Linked DNA regions of Cricetulus griseus. The protein of the gene in region 2 purifies or fractionates together with the protein of the main gene of each other region. This does not show direct contact. Links are inferred from orthologs where the notes say so. Each region holds a gene or a part of one and is shown on either strand. Other genes may lie near its edges.

Region 1 (7,166 bases), on a different chromosome or scaffold from region 2:
TCGAAAGAAATGCTTCCTTGTCTCTAAGGTCTACCAGGAACACTGACTTGAAGAGGATCAACGGATTTTGCACCAAGTCACAGGAAAGTCCCAAAGCCCCAACCGGTAAGTGTTCACTGCTTAATGCATTTATGGAATATGTAGCCCCCATTCCCACCCCTTAGAATCATTTGGCATCAAAAGAACTTGAAGAGGTAGGCCAGTGTTCCTCCATCATGCTCAGTCTTGTAGAGTTGCCTTCCTTACTGGGCATGCATTGGTTGTGTTCACAGTGCACAATGGTGTCTGTGTATGCGCACCCACGCATGCGCACATACACACACCACAGGTGAACATCAGGTGTCCCCCTCAACCATTCTCCACTTTAGTTTTTGAGGTAGGATCTCTCACTGAATCTGAAGGTCACCCATTTGGCAAGACTGGCTGGCCAGCAAACACCTCTGCCTCCCCGGTGCTATCGTTCTAGGTGTACACATCACCCCTGGCTTTTTTTTTTTTGAAGTGGGTCCTGGAGATTAAACTGGTCTCCTTGTGCCTGACTGAGTCATTTCCCCAACCACATCAAGAGATTATGTCTGGGATCAGATATAATGAGGCTAAATTCTGAGTTTGGGCCCAACGTCAGCCATATCTGTTATATATACCTAAGGTCGAGCTGCCACTGCGGAAACCCACCAGCTGTAACCCACCAGCTTTGCTTGTCTGCAAGCTCCTTCTGGGGGTGCACCTGGGTTCTGCAGGCCATAGTGAATAGAAAGGACTTAAAACATGTTTATTCCTCTCAACCCGATGTTTCTCTTTTCAAGATTCACCATCTGTCCTAAGCAGTAATCACTATATATGGGAAAGGCGGGGAGTGTAAAGATGTTGTGTATATATATTATATATATATATTATATATATATTACACACACACATATATGTCAAATTACATGCAGCTGTTGGCGGTTTCTTATAAACACTGTAATTCTGTGGAATGTTCCATATCTATGAATATATATATATCCAGATGTCAGATTTTATACTGTATGTGAGCGTAAGCCTTATACATGCATATAAAGTGTGTGGTCATACCCACCCAAATTAAAGTATACTGGCCACTCTATAGTAGTGGCATTATGAATTATTTTAATTTTTTGCTTTTTCATATCTGTTCTTGGGACACAGAGGCAAGCAGATCTCTGTGAGCTCCAGGCCAGCCAGGCTTATATTTAAACAAGAACAAAAAGATGTATCCCAAATCCAGTGAATCCCTCAGCTTGGTGTTCAGTGTCTGATAATGTTAATGCAATCTAACCATACAGCCTTTTTCTTACTCTGCTGGAGGAGACGGGCACCCTCTTGTCTTTTCTCGGCACATCTTTCCTCCCTGTCTCTTCTTGTGGTATTCTTTCCACTTTATAGTGGTAGGGCTTCTATTTTGCCCTGTTCCTCATGGTGCTGGGGAATGTCACTTCAAAACAAGGCATTCTGGGGGCTGGAGAGATGGCTCAGAGGTTAGGAGCACTGGCTGTTCTTCCAAAGGCCCTGAGTTCAATTCCCAGCAACCACATGGTGGCTCACAACCCTCCATTATGAGATCTGGTGCCCTCTTCTGGTGTGCAGGTGTGCATGCAGATAAAGCACTTGCATGCATAAAATAAATAAATCCTTTTAAAAAAAGAAAGAAAGAAGCCATTCTGCCCACTCCTATTCACATCACGTGAAGCTCTGGATCAGCCTGAAGTCTCCTGGTGTTTCCATTAACTGAATAACTAAAGGACACAAACAGCATTTTTTTTTTCTGTTGCTTGCTTGATTTAAACATTAAAATCTCAAGCAAGACTGTTACCTGGTTTTCCCTACAGAATCTTACAGACACAGAGTGCCGCTTCACAAACCCACAGACTTCGAGAAGAAGATACTATTGTGGTCAGGGCGCTTCAAGAAGGAGGAAGAAATCCCGGAGACGATCTCGTGAGTGCTGGGAGGGTTGTACTCAGCCCGAGTTTCTCACTGGTCTCTGAAGGGGACCAGTGCATTTGAACTCTGTTTAAAACCTTTTGACCAGATTTAGAAACATTCTTCATTCTCTACATGTTTTCTCATGTTTGGCAATTACCCAGAACAGTCAGTGTTGGAAAGCTGTTAGGGTGTTACCTAGCGACTGATGGACCTGTTCGCTTCTGAAGCCAGCTGATGTTTAGTTACACATCCTCGCTCCAGGAACTTTAAGAGGTGAGGTCTCAGGCCTCAGCCGGGCAGTGGTGGTGCACACCGGTAGTCCCAGAACTCAGGAGCCAGAGGCAGGCAGATCTCTCTGAGTTCAAGGCATCTTGGACTACAGAATGAGTTCCAGGACAGCCAGACAACCCCTGTCCTGAAACTGCCTGCCACCCCCACCCCCCCAGAATCCCACAGCCCTAAAAAGAGGTGAGATCTCATGGGAGCTCCTCAGAGATCCTGGTCCTCCTCATCTTCAGCTCTTTGGCTTCCTTCGAGCTAAGTGTCCCCACCCTCTCAGCAGGATGTTCGACCTCCATAAGCCTCTCCCTTTTCATACACTGCTCACCTCCGATATCCCAGGTAACCAGGAAGAGGTTTCTTCCTCACCTGCCTCCTTAAGCCTCAGCTGGAATCTAGACTGTTTCAGAATTTCTAAGTAATATGTGCAGGTTCCTCTAAGCCAGGGTTTTACAGCCTTAGCTAGCACTGTTGACACTTTGGACTGGAATGTTTTGGGTTTTGTGAACTGCCGTGTGTACTGAAGGATGTTACCAACATCCCTGACGTCTGCCCTCTAGATGCCAGCAGTACTCTCTCCAAGAGTGACCCCAGGCATTGTCAAATGTCCCCTGGGGTCAAATCTATCTCAGGTGGAAGAAGTGTTCAGTCTTGTGCTAAGGACCCTGACTGACCAGAAGTGAAACTCTCTCCCCTGTGGGCATCCTCCTCCTCAGAGTAAGGGATGTTATGCAAGTTCCCTGTCAGCAAGAAACTATTCCTGGGCCTTCTGGCTCTGGGTTCAAGCAGCACATCTTTTCCAGGTAGAAAGGACGCATCTGCTTCTGCCCATAGAGCCCTGCTGCTCTTCCCGGTCACCCCCAGAATTATCTCAGCAGGAAAGCCTTAGTGCTCCTTAACCCTAGTCACAGTGCCCTCTTCTGAGAAATGGGAGTTTACAGGAAATAGCGGGGACACCCTGTTCTTGCTTTTGCCCTGGTTTCTTGATAATGTCCCATCAAAACCAAGATGATCTCTACCTGGAGGGGATGGGCTGTGATTTCTGCTGTTCGGAGTTTGCTGTGGCACACCTTGTCTCCCTTGTCATTGGTTCTAGATCTCTCAGACCCAAAGTACTACCTGGTGAGTCACTCTGGAAAGTTCTTCCCTAGGCTTGGGCAACTGATTGTCTATGCTGGTGGTTGTGAGCAGGTCCTGCTTCTCTTGCCTTTTATTATTATTGTTATCCGAGGAACTCACACATACATATAATGTGTTTTGACTTAATTCAGCCACTGATGTGTGCCCTTCCCTCCAATTTCTACATTTCCCTCCCAACTTCATGGTTTTTATTTTGCTTTTTTTTAAACTAACCTTGCTTCTTTTGAAATGGTTAGCAACTGTCATGGCCATGTTGAAATGTATTTTCCTTTATAAATGGTCTCCTAATGGTATGCCACTACGGGAGGATCACAAGACTTCAGTTGGAGACACCCGTGCACATAAAATCTTGTTGTATTAGTTACTTTTCTATTGCTGTAATAAAACACCATGACCAAGGCAACAACTTACAGAATAAAGAGTTTGCTCTGGGCTTGCAGTTCCAGAGGGTTAGGATCCATAATGGTGAGGACAGCAGGCAGCAGACATGAGACAGGAGCTGTGAGCTGAGAGGTCACATCTCAAACTGTAAGCAGGAAATAGAGAGGGTGAACTGGGAAAGGTGGGAAAGGCATGTGGCTTTTGAGACCTCAAAGCCTGCTCAACAGTTTCACACTTCCTCCAACAGGCCACACTCCCTAATCCTACCCAAACAGTGCCACTGGGAGCCAGGCTGATCCAAGGCTTTCTTAGAGGCCCTGAAGAAAGGACAGAAAGAAGGCTAGTTTTTTGTTCTTGCCCAGGGGCAGCATGGCACGGTCTAGTTCAGGCCCAGGGTCAGGGCCTCAAAGGACTTACAGTTTCAGGTTCCTGGGAACCTGGCTTTGGGCCTGAAGAAACTGGAATTATCAGTCCCAAGACCACTGTATGCTTGGTCTATGATACATTTGAGCCATCCCGTGTTCCTTTTTGTATAATTTTTCTTGATTAGCGTCCTCTGACTTCATCCTATTGTGTGACAGCTTTCTGCTGACTCTGTCCCATCCCCAATCCCCACCACCACCACCACGCACTGCAAACTGTCTATAGTATGCTGTACTTCTTAATAAACTTGCCTTGGCATAAGGCATCAGCTTCTGTAAGACCTCCTTGTCCCTACTTTTCTGGTTTCTTTATTTTCTTATCACCACCCTTCCCCTTAGGAACCTATCATTGAAAATCAGCCTGCTGGTCCAGGTCAACCAAGTATTCAAATGCCCTAGACTAAGGGAAAACATTCTCCTTGCAGCCACCACACAAGTTAAAATGGTTTGGGTTTTTTGTTTTTTGTTTGTTTGTTTGGTTGGTTTGGATTGTTTTTATGGCTAGTGAGTTCTCAGATGATTTTAGTTAAGCAGTTAAGCAGTTCACTATCTTTCGAAGCTGTTCCTGGTTCCTACCATCCTATGGCCCCAGTTTCAGTGCCTGGACTGGAGAGCTCGTCGTACAATCTGCTTTCCAAGTCCCAGTTCTTACATCACACTGTATATGTGACCTCCTCCATGGCAGCCTTTGAAAGCCATTGCTCTTGCTTATTGTAGATGGAAGTTTCTATCCCTCCAGGTCCTGCAGCCGTTTAGTCTCAAACACACAGAGGCCTATAGTAATTATAAACCATTTGGCTGATGGCTCAGGTTTCTGGCTAACTCTCTCTTAATTATTAACCCATAACTATTAATCTGTGTTTCTCCACATGATTTTAGCTTACTGGTGATTCCCGAGCCTCTTGCTCCCTAAGCAGATACATGGTGTCTCCTTTTCTCTGCCTATTGCCTTTCTCTATCCCTGTTTGGATTTTCCTCCTGGCTAAATCCTGCCTTCCCATTGCCCGAAACAGCTTTTTTCATCAACCAATAAGAGAAATATATATTCACAGCATACAGAAGGCCCTCCACCATCAGCTTATATTCAATATTAGATATGCTAAATATTGGGGGGGGGATAGAAAGCATTCCAATCCCTTTTATTTATTTATTTTTCTGAGACAGGGTTTTTCTGTGTAACAACCCTGGCTGTCCTGGGACTCACAGAGATCGCCTGCCTCTGCCTCCTGAGTTCTGTGATTAAAGGCGTGCACCACCACCACCTGGTGTCCAATCCCATTATTTAGAAATAGCCACTTCCTGTGCACACCTACTGGGGAGACCCACTTGGACTCCATGTGTCCTGTCTTGCCCTTCTAGGTACCACAATAGAACCATAACCCACTGCCTTCCTACGGAATCACAAAGATAATAGCCTTCTCTCATTTAATCTTATTACATTTATTCATTTAGTGGCTTGGGATGGTGCTTGTGACACAGCATCTGTGTAGAAATGAAACCGCTTACGGAAGTGTCTCTACCATATAGACCCTAAAAATTGAATTCAGGCCACTGGGCTTGGCTGCAAGCACCTTTACCTACTGGTCCTTCTTGCATACCCAGCCTTCTGTTTAGACTCTTGCACGTTATGCCCCTGTCAAGGCATGTAGGTCATCAGTCAGTGGAAAGGTTAGATAGGCTACATTCTGGGTACTTGCCAAAAAGCATAGGCTCCACTCCACTGTTGCTCAATTTTAGCAAAACCTTCATGACAAGATTAACATTTAAGGGACCATTGTTTAAGGGATTATTTCCCTGGCTCAGGCAACCTCAAATCTGTTTCTGATTTAAGACAGAGAAAAACACTAGATTAGAGGCTGGAAAAATACTCAGATATGCTTGCATTGTTTGAAATAAATCCTAAGGTTTGTTTTTCGACAAAAGTTTCTCTCCATAGCCCTGGCTGTCTTGGAACTTGCTATGTGGAACAGATTGGCCTTGAATTTACAATGATCCTCCTTCCTCTGCCTAGGTTACAGGCCTGAACTATTCCCAGCAAGCATACGTTTTGTTATGAAATGCACTTTTAGATGAGTTGATAAAAATGGAAAGACTTTGAATTAATAACATAGTTTCTAGTCCTCCCTCCCCCAATCAAAAATCAGAGTAATCAGGCTGCAGAGATGGCTCCAGTAGTTAAGGGCACTGGCTGTCCTTCCAGAGAATGGAGGTTCAGTTCCCAGAACCAACATGTGACTTATAACCTTCTGTATCATAGGAGATCCAAATCCTCTTCTGGCCCCTGACTCAGGCACTGCACATAGTGCGTAGACACACATTCAGGCAAAGCACCCATGTGCATAAAGTTTAAAATGGGGGAGACAACTAGATTACACAAAGAATATTAACTCTTCCATGTTTGTTTTCTTTCTGAACTATATTTTTGTTATAACTTGAGCTTATAACAGGACTTTTTGAGAGAAGAATGAGTTCCAGGCCAGCCTGGGCTATAAAGTAAGAAAGACCTTGTCTCCAAAAACAAAAACCAAAGACTTGTGAACTTGACCCACAATCCCCCAAAGTGCTATGAGGTCCCTAGGTCCTAGCTGCTTTGTGTTTACAAACATCACTGAACTTTTAACTTGTGATGCCCAGAACATTTCATCCTGCTGCAGGTTCAGAAAGAAAAAGGTTAATCATGTTTTCTTGTTCCATCACTAGGTTTGAGATGCTTGACGCTGCAAAGAACAAGATCCGGGTGAAGGTCAGCTATTTAATGATTGCCTTGACAGTGGCAGGATGCATCTATATGGTTATTGAGGGCAAGAAGGTAAGAGCCGGCTGCTCTCTGTCTCTGTATGCTGTCCCCAAAGACAGGAAAGCCATGATTGGCTCCTCCAGTTGGTCTGAGAAGGGGTAGCCACTTTGTATCACTTTCCTGACTAAATTCATGCCAGGCTCTTCTGAGTGGTGACCTCATTGTACCTCACAACAGCTTTGCTAGGTGCCAATGTGAGATAA
Region 2 (7,868 bases):
AATAAGTTTTTTAGCCTGGCAGTGGTGGTGCATGCCTTTAATTCCAGCACTCAGGAGGCAGAGACAGGCGGATCTCTGTGAGTTCAAGGCCAGCCTGGTCTACTGAGCAAGTTCCCGGACAGCCTCCAAAGCTACAGAGAAACCCTGTCTCAAAAAAAGAGGAAAAAAAAGTGGAGTAGGGGAGCTTCTTGGGTTTTATCATAAATAATATAAACTATGTGTCAGCAGGAAAAAAAAAAAAAAAAAAAAAAAACAGAATTAATTCGGAAGTACTATAGAAAGCTTAGCCTTGAACCGGAAAAGCAGCCAGTGAGTAAACACACTTGCTGCTCTTACAGAGGACCCAAATTTGGTTCCCAGCATCCACATGGCAAGTTATAACCATCTATAACTCCAGTTCTAGGAAAACTGACACCACAGGCACCAGGCAAACAGACATACAGGCAAACACTCATACATGTGAAATAAAAACATCTTTAATTAAAAATAAATCTTTAAGAAAAGTTTTAATCATGGATTTGTATAGAATATATCTGCCAATCCCTTGTGGTAAAAAGGGAGCACAGAGGATCTGTCTTTATGAAGCACTCACTGCATGTGAGGGACGTGTCCCAAGATAAAATGTAACCTTCCAGAAGCCTGTCAAGAGTTCTGACCTAGGGTTTCTGTATCAGTGTCTCCATACCTAGTCACTGGAAAGCCATGTCTAAAATTGATGTAAATTTTGTTTTAAGTTTATCAGAAGTTATGATACCTGCAGAGTTAAAATCAGAAACTGCCAAGCTCCAGCTACTACCACCCATCAGTCCCTGAGATCAAGGGCTAGTCTAATGAATGCCAACAAATACCCAAGAAACAAGGTCAGTATTAGTCTGTAGGTCAAACTGGAACAGATGAAACCAACAATAAAGCAATTCACTCCATCACTATGAACTTCTTCTACATTTTGGGGTAGCCTGAACATCTCTGCAATTCAAGAAAGAAAAGGGCCACTGGGTGGTGGTGGTGGTGGTGGTGGTGGTGGTGGTGGTGGTGGTAGTGGTGCACACTGTTAATCCCAGCACTAGGGAGGCAGGAGGAAAAAAAGGATGTTTTGCTTATAAATCTATAAATCTAGTGCTCAATACAGTTCTCCAATTGTTCTCAGCTTAAAGTTTGTCTTTGTAACTAGAAGGGGGTGTTTTGTTTGTTTTCCGCACTGGACCTCATACACAACTGGGTAAGCCTTTTACCACTAAGTTATACTCCCAGTCTAAAAGTAAGCTTTTTAAAAACAAGGATGGGGTACTTATTTTAATGTAACACACCTGCACAAACATATTTAAAACCTGGTAGGATGAAAATAGAGATTAGTAGTAGAACTACAAGGCTCTAGTTTCAATCTCCAGCAATCAGCTAACTAATATTCTGTAAACTCTTAACCCAGCCAAGTCAACCATCACCAAATATTTAGCTTCTTTGCAAACCAAGGAAACCACAGGACAGAACAATATAAAACCCCATAAATGCAACAGGTCTGACCATTAAGAATCCCTACCAGGAACAACTTTAATACTAGTTATATTCAGAACATGCATTTATCACAGTGCCCAATAATCATAGTTTAGCATGTACACAATACAACCATCTCTGAATCTCAAAACAAAAATTATTAGAGAAAGAAAAAAAAGCATACAATATTTTACTTTATCCCTTGTTTCAACAACTGGGGAGGATAAACGCATAAGCAATATTCAGGTCAGGACAGAGGTATGTAGACATCTCCATGGATGACTGTTAGAATATAGCCATTATATTAAATGACCAGTATGGTCAAATAAACAAGTTACTATTAAGCCCAGAATACCTTGGCAGGTATTAGGAGAAAGTTACAAGGGCGTGGATTATAAGCTTCTGGCCTTCAAGCTTGTAATCTACCTGAGTAAATAGTCCCAAATAACCAATGTCTTTCCCCACTTCTTTGTACAATCATAGTAACACACACACACACACACACACACACACACACACACAAATATAACAAAACTACATGAAAAGCAGAAATATCCAAAGCTAATAAATCAGATTACATGCAAATCACTCAAAACAAATTAACTTCTGCCTCCTTAAGGCAAAACAACTATAGACATTTATAGGCTAAGAAATTAGGGGCTGGAGAGATGGCTCAGAGGTTAAGAGCATTGACTACTCTTCCAGAGGACCCTGGTTCAAACCCCCAGCAAATACATGGTGGCTCACAACCATAATGAGACCCAATGCCCTCTTCTGGCTTGTAGGCATACATGAAGACAGAACATTCTATACATTAAATAAATAAATCTTAAAATAAAATTAAAAGAGTTACAAGAACTTATTAGACACTTACCACACCGCTGCATGACTTTGTTTTCACATCCAGCTTTACCAACCCAAAGCCTTCAAAGAATAGAGAGCAAAGACATGACTATTCTGCAGATATATACCCATTATTCATGTTACATTTAAAATAATTCAAATGTCCAGAGGAACAAAAATGTACCGATGCCTAGCACCTGCAAGGCACTTAAAAGCAGTCAGCTGCCCAGCATGCTGGCAGGAAATTGGCTCCACTTCCTGACACACCCTTTCCAAGACACTTTTTAAATGTTAGAGACTAGAAAAATCGACAATGTCTTTAATCCCAGCACAGGGGAGGTAGAGACAGGTGGATCTCTGTGAATTTGAGGCCAGCCTGGTCTACAGAGCCAAGTTCCAGGACAGGGTCCAAAAAGTCCTGTCTGGGAAGGAAAAAAAAAAATCACTTCCGCAGAATAGCCTATTGTTGATGACTACACCTTAAGGACATTTATCCCAAAGGAGTGGGAGAAGGGGTATGTGCAACACAACCTTCAAGAAAACTCAAACTCACTCAAAAAGCCCACAACCCCTTAAGGTTTCAGTTCCACCAGGAGCCACAGACACAAAACTAAAAGAGTAATTCAGGGCAGCTCTACTCAACCAAGGCCTGCTCAGTCACCAAAGAGAATAAAAGTACAAGCTTCTTGCAGGATAGTGCACACCTTTAATCCCAGCACTTGGGAGGCAGATCTCAGTGAGTTCGAGGCCAGCCTGGTCTATAAATTGAGGTCCAGGACAGTCAGGACTGTTACATAGAGAAACCCTATCTGGAAAAAACAAACAAACAAAAAAAAAAAGCAAAAACAAAAAACCCAGAACCCAAAAGTACAAGCTTTTCCCTTAAAAGGTTAGAATTCATAAACTTGGGCCTGAACAAAAGCTGGGGTACAGTGGAGCAGTCTAACATAAAATGCATCTGGCAGAAACATTAAACCAGCAGGATATTCAGTCTGGAAAAGCAAGTCAATGTCCTAAAGGGATGCAAGCATACATTTTCTCTTTTAAGCTAAAATTAAAAGAAAAGTCCTTACCAAATCCTTTGTTGAAAATATCTCTGGCAGCTTTGCCAAGGTCAGCATAGCATGGAGGGATACACATTGCTAGTAAAAAGAAACATTCTATAGTTAACATGACTGGACTATGACCTACTGCTAATATTTACATTCAAGCAGACCAATGAGAACTATACCACTTTACTCTTAACAGCCATCTGTAACAACAGTTTACTTTCTAAATAGCTATGTGGTAATATAAACCTGCGACAGTTCCCCAGTTTGGTTTTATAGGGTAGGGCAAGCCTATCTAATTCCTAAACTTAAAAGTCTACAGCCTTGCTCGAAACACTAGTACAAGTGTACACACACTTGCCAGAATTCAAGTGGACTGACTGATTTAACTAAGACAAAAACCAAAATTTAATGTTAGGCATTTTCCCTAGCAAAGCACCTGGTATATCTTCCAAGAACAAAACCAACACTTAACACTCTGGGAACTGACATCTTGAGACATAGGGGAGAGAAATACAACCATCTATGTTTCAGTCAAGTGTCTACAGCAACTAAATATCAAATGGCACTTTAAACACACTAATACGACTCCCAAGTACTCCGCCAATGCAGTGAGGCTTAAGGGCAAGGAATCTGAGCTCCGGCCGCAGCTCATTCATTCTAAAGAGCACATCCACGCCCTTAGGAACACGTGTAATGACCTTGTAGTGCACTCCATCTCTACGGGCAGAGGGAGAACTACTTCCTCTTGCAAAGTGGCCCATCTAATCCTCCAGGGTGAAATTCAACAACTAGTAGTTTTTGTTTTGCTTTCGGGTTGGTAAAACGACACATCCAAAAGCAGAGGGTGGGTACCGCCAAGGACCAACGCCCCAGGCGCGAGCCCCCGATCTGCAACCCAACAGCCCAGCACCCACGTCGGTCAGCAGAGGCGGCGGTACGCTTTAGTGGCCGCACAAAGTGGAGAGAACTTTCCAAGTCCTTGCAAGCATGTGAATCGAGGCGGGACCAGCTATGGTTTTCCAAAGAAGGGCACAGCAGCCCCGCCGAAGACACTTCTAATGATCTACTTACGCCGTGGGCATATCGGTACACAACAGTCCGCCATAGCGAAGCCTCGGGGAAAAGGAGATCTGTAGAAGGGACAAGAAGTGCGATCAGGGGACGGTCAAAGGGCCCAAGGGGGATCTCGGACAGAAGGGAAAGGGGGCCGGGGCCGCTGCGGCCATCTTAGGGGAGCAGAGCCGCCCCGAGTCCGCTGTGGCTGCCGGCCCGGCCTAGGCCCCTGGGATCGGCATGAGGCCAGCGACGTAGTACCTGCGGGTGTCCTGAGGGGCGTTGCCGCCGCCGCCGCCGCTCCGCTCCCAGCCGAGGCCGCTCCGCTACCCAGAGACTGCGCTGCAGCCACCGCGGCTGGAGGGCGAAGTGAAGGAGACACCGTTGCGCCCCGCCGCAAGCCTGGCCTCCCCCAGCCAGGACCCCGCCGCGGCCGCCCGGGCTGTCCGCTGCGCCTGTCCTTGCCGCGCCGCCCGCCACCCACTCGCACCTACTCCGGAGTGGCCACGCGGGTCGAGGGCACGGTGATCCCCCGGGGTGAGCTGTCTCGGACCGTCCAGTGGGGACGGGGCGAGAAGGAGCTGGAGGGCCACGGGTCAGGCAGTGTACGGGGCAGCCCCAGAAGCGAGGGCCGGGGAACGGCGGAGGCGGTGCAACGGCACCCGCGCGGCCAGGAAGGGAGAGGCCACGCGCGTCACGACGGGCGGGGCGATGCGGCCCGCGGGGTCACGTGCACCCCTCCGCCTGCGTGCTGAGTGACCCAGCAAGGGAACGTGCGGGCAGTCACTGCCTCCACAGCGGCTTAAGAGCCCGGGAGGTGCAAGTAGAAGTGAGGTTCGCTGCGCCATCTGCAGCCTCCATCCCCTTCTTACATCGGTTCACCGCCCGCTGCGATGTCATCCTGAGGTGGGGCTGGGCTCCCAGAGGAACAAACTTGAGCCACCTTCAGTGGGCTCTACTCTGAGAGCCTCGGGCTTGTGCTCCTAAAGCCTCCTTCCCACTCATGTGGATGGCTTCACACTCGTGCAGAAGCCATGCTCCAGTAGGGAGATAAGCTTTCCCTGGTTGAGAGGCCCAGAAAGATACGGGAAGAACTGTAGGGTTCGTGTTGACCAGTCATTAGAATGCTGTTCTCAAATTCTGTGTAAGAAGAATGAGGAAGCTGCCAGCCCTGGTTCATGGGAAGCACAGGAGATTGCCTCCAGTTTGAGGCTAAGCTACAGCACGAGGCAAATAGGGGGAAAAAAAGAAGAAATGCTCAAGCTAATAGAGATAGAAACAGGGCCTTCGGAGAGGGCTCAGTGGGTAAGAACTCTTGCTGGGCAAGCAGGAGGACCTGAGTTCCAATACCCAGTCCCCACATTAAAAGCCAATAGTAGCCCCAGAAAGAGCAACAAGAGGGTCGCTGGGGTTCTTTGCCCACCTGGCCAGCAAACAGTATGCTCTAAGTTCAGTAACAGATTCTGGCTCAAGGGAGTAAGGTGAAGAGCAATAGAGACTATCCAAAATCCTCTGGTCTCAGGCATAAGAGTGAATACCTGTACACAAACATACACCACCTATAAAGAAGATTAGAAATGGACACCACTGAGGCTTCAATTCAATAAAACTCAGGTAATTTAGGCCGTGAACCTCAGTTTCCTCATCTCTAAGGTAATGTTTAACAGTGTTGGTTTTTTTTAAATACCTTATTTAACTTTATGTGCATTGGTATAAGGATACCAGATCCCCTGGAACTGGAGTTAGAGACAGGTGTGAGCTGCCATGTGGGTGCTGGGAATAGAACCTGGGTCCTCTTGAAGAGCAGCCACGGCTCTTAACCACTGAGCCATCTCTAACAGTGTTTAATAGGCATTCAGTTGGACTGACAACAAAGACTCCATACACGTACATGCTCACAACCCAATTATCTCTGAACTCTTCCTCTACTCAAGTTTTCATTCTCCTCCTAACTGGGAAAAGATGGCTAGATGGCCTTTGCCAATCCAGAACCAAGTTTACTAGCAATCTTGCCTGGTCATGGCTGAGGCTGTGTTGTAAAGAGTTAAATGTGAAGAGTCTTTGTGTCTAAGAGATCAGGCTCTAACACCTGATTCATCCCTTCATTCAAGCTCAGGCAGGCTGGTCTGCAATGGACCTGGCCAATAGGAGATATCCTGCCCTCGCTGTTTGATACCTTTGCATACCAAAAGCAGGACTTACTCATATTATGAATTAACATGTAGCCATTTTTGATCTCCAAAGACATCATTTTCTCTGACACAAGTCTGAGGCTTTACTCTGTAAATGTACAGTGTGTGGGCAGTGCTTAATGGTCACTGGAGATAGACATGTGCCTGAGCAAAAAATTGCAGGGGTGGAAAAGAAGTTGATTCCTTCCCAATATTAAAGACACAGCTGACACTCCTATATAAAAGGCAGGTTAGCAAGAAAAATATATAACTCATTTATCATGGATTTATATGATACACAATCCACCAAACTTAAGAACTCAAACACCCAAGATATATTATTGATTTTTTTTTTAGATTATTGATTTTTACGCTAAGGTTGAATGAAGCATGGATAGGCATATAAAAATATACATGAACAAGCCAGGCGGTGGTGTCGCACACCTTTAGTCCCAGCACTCGGGAGGCAGAGGCGTGCGGATCTCTGTCAGTTCGAGACTAGCCTGGTCCACAAGAGGTAGTTCCAGGACAGCCTCCAAAGCCACAGAAAAACCCTGTCTCAGGAAAAAAAAAAAAAAAAGAAAAAAGAAAGAAAGAAAAAAAGAAATATACATGATCAAATAGAGTATAATCTAACAGAATGAGTAGGTATCCCAAAATGCCTGTCCGGGTGCCCCCTCCCCTAACTATGGAGACAGAACCTTTCTAAGAAGGAAGGGCTTGGTTTTGTCAGTATATTGCTGGGAATTGAACTAATGTTTAGACCAGCCCTCTACCACCCCTTTTTTAACCCTACAAAACCAGGTCTCTCACTAAGTTGCCAAGGCAATCCTTGAGCTTGCCGTCTTCCTGCTTCAGCCTCCCAAGGAGCTGAAATTATAGGCCGTACCACCAGGCCCCACTTGCATGGAGGTCTTGAACTGGGAAAATGGCTGAATAAAGTCCTTGCTGTGTAAATGTTAGTATCAAGGCTTCGGATCTCTAGAACCACATAAAAGATGGGCAGTTCACCTATAACCCCATCACTCAGGAGGCAGACATGGGATCCCTGGGACAAGATAGCTAGTTAAACTAGATTAAATTGGCAAGCTCTGGATTTAGCAAGAGACTCTGGTTCAGTAAATTAGAGAACCATCCATGAAGAAACATGCATGTGTACACATTTGTACATGCACCCACATGCAAAAAGTATGTATATCTGCCATGTCCATTGCAGCTTTGGTCCAAGAACTCTGGCTAGGGGCAGTGAAGGAATAAA

The links.
Region 1: the proteins of Vdac2 (region 2) and protein FAM162A fractionate together in Homo sapiens (co-fractionation; 3 studies listed by BioGRID and IntAct, with this or other methods). This does not show direct contact. The link is inferred for Cricetulus griseus from reciprocal best matches to the Homo sapiens genes VDAC2 and FAM162A.

What each region holds. Positions count from the first base shown.
Region 1 is NC_048597.1:53,616,678-53,623,843, forward strand, and holds part of protein FAM162A, read left to right. Parts: coding exon 1-105; intron 106-1,847; coding exon 1,848-1,956; intron 1,957-6,866; coding exon 6,867-6,975; intron 6,976-7,166. UniProt on the Homo sapiens protein: Proposed to be involved in regulation of apoptosis; the exact mechanism may differ between cell types/tissues.
Region 2 is NW_023276807.1:199,146,696-199,154,563, forward strand, and holds the start of Vdac2 (voltage-dependent anion-selective channel protein 2), read right to left. Parts: upstream 4,855-7,868; 5' UTR 4,701-4,854; intron 4,517-4,700; 5' UTR 4,492-4,516; coding exon 4,458-4,491; intron 3,477-4,457; coding exon 3,408-3,476; intron 2,416-3,407; coding exon 2,366-2,415; intron 1-2,365. UniProt on the Homo sapiens protein: Non-selective voltage-gated ion channel that mediates the transport of anions and cations through the mitochondrion outer membrane and plasma membrane.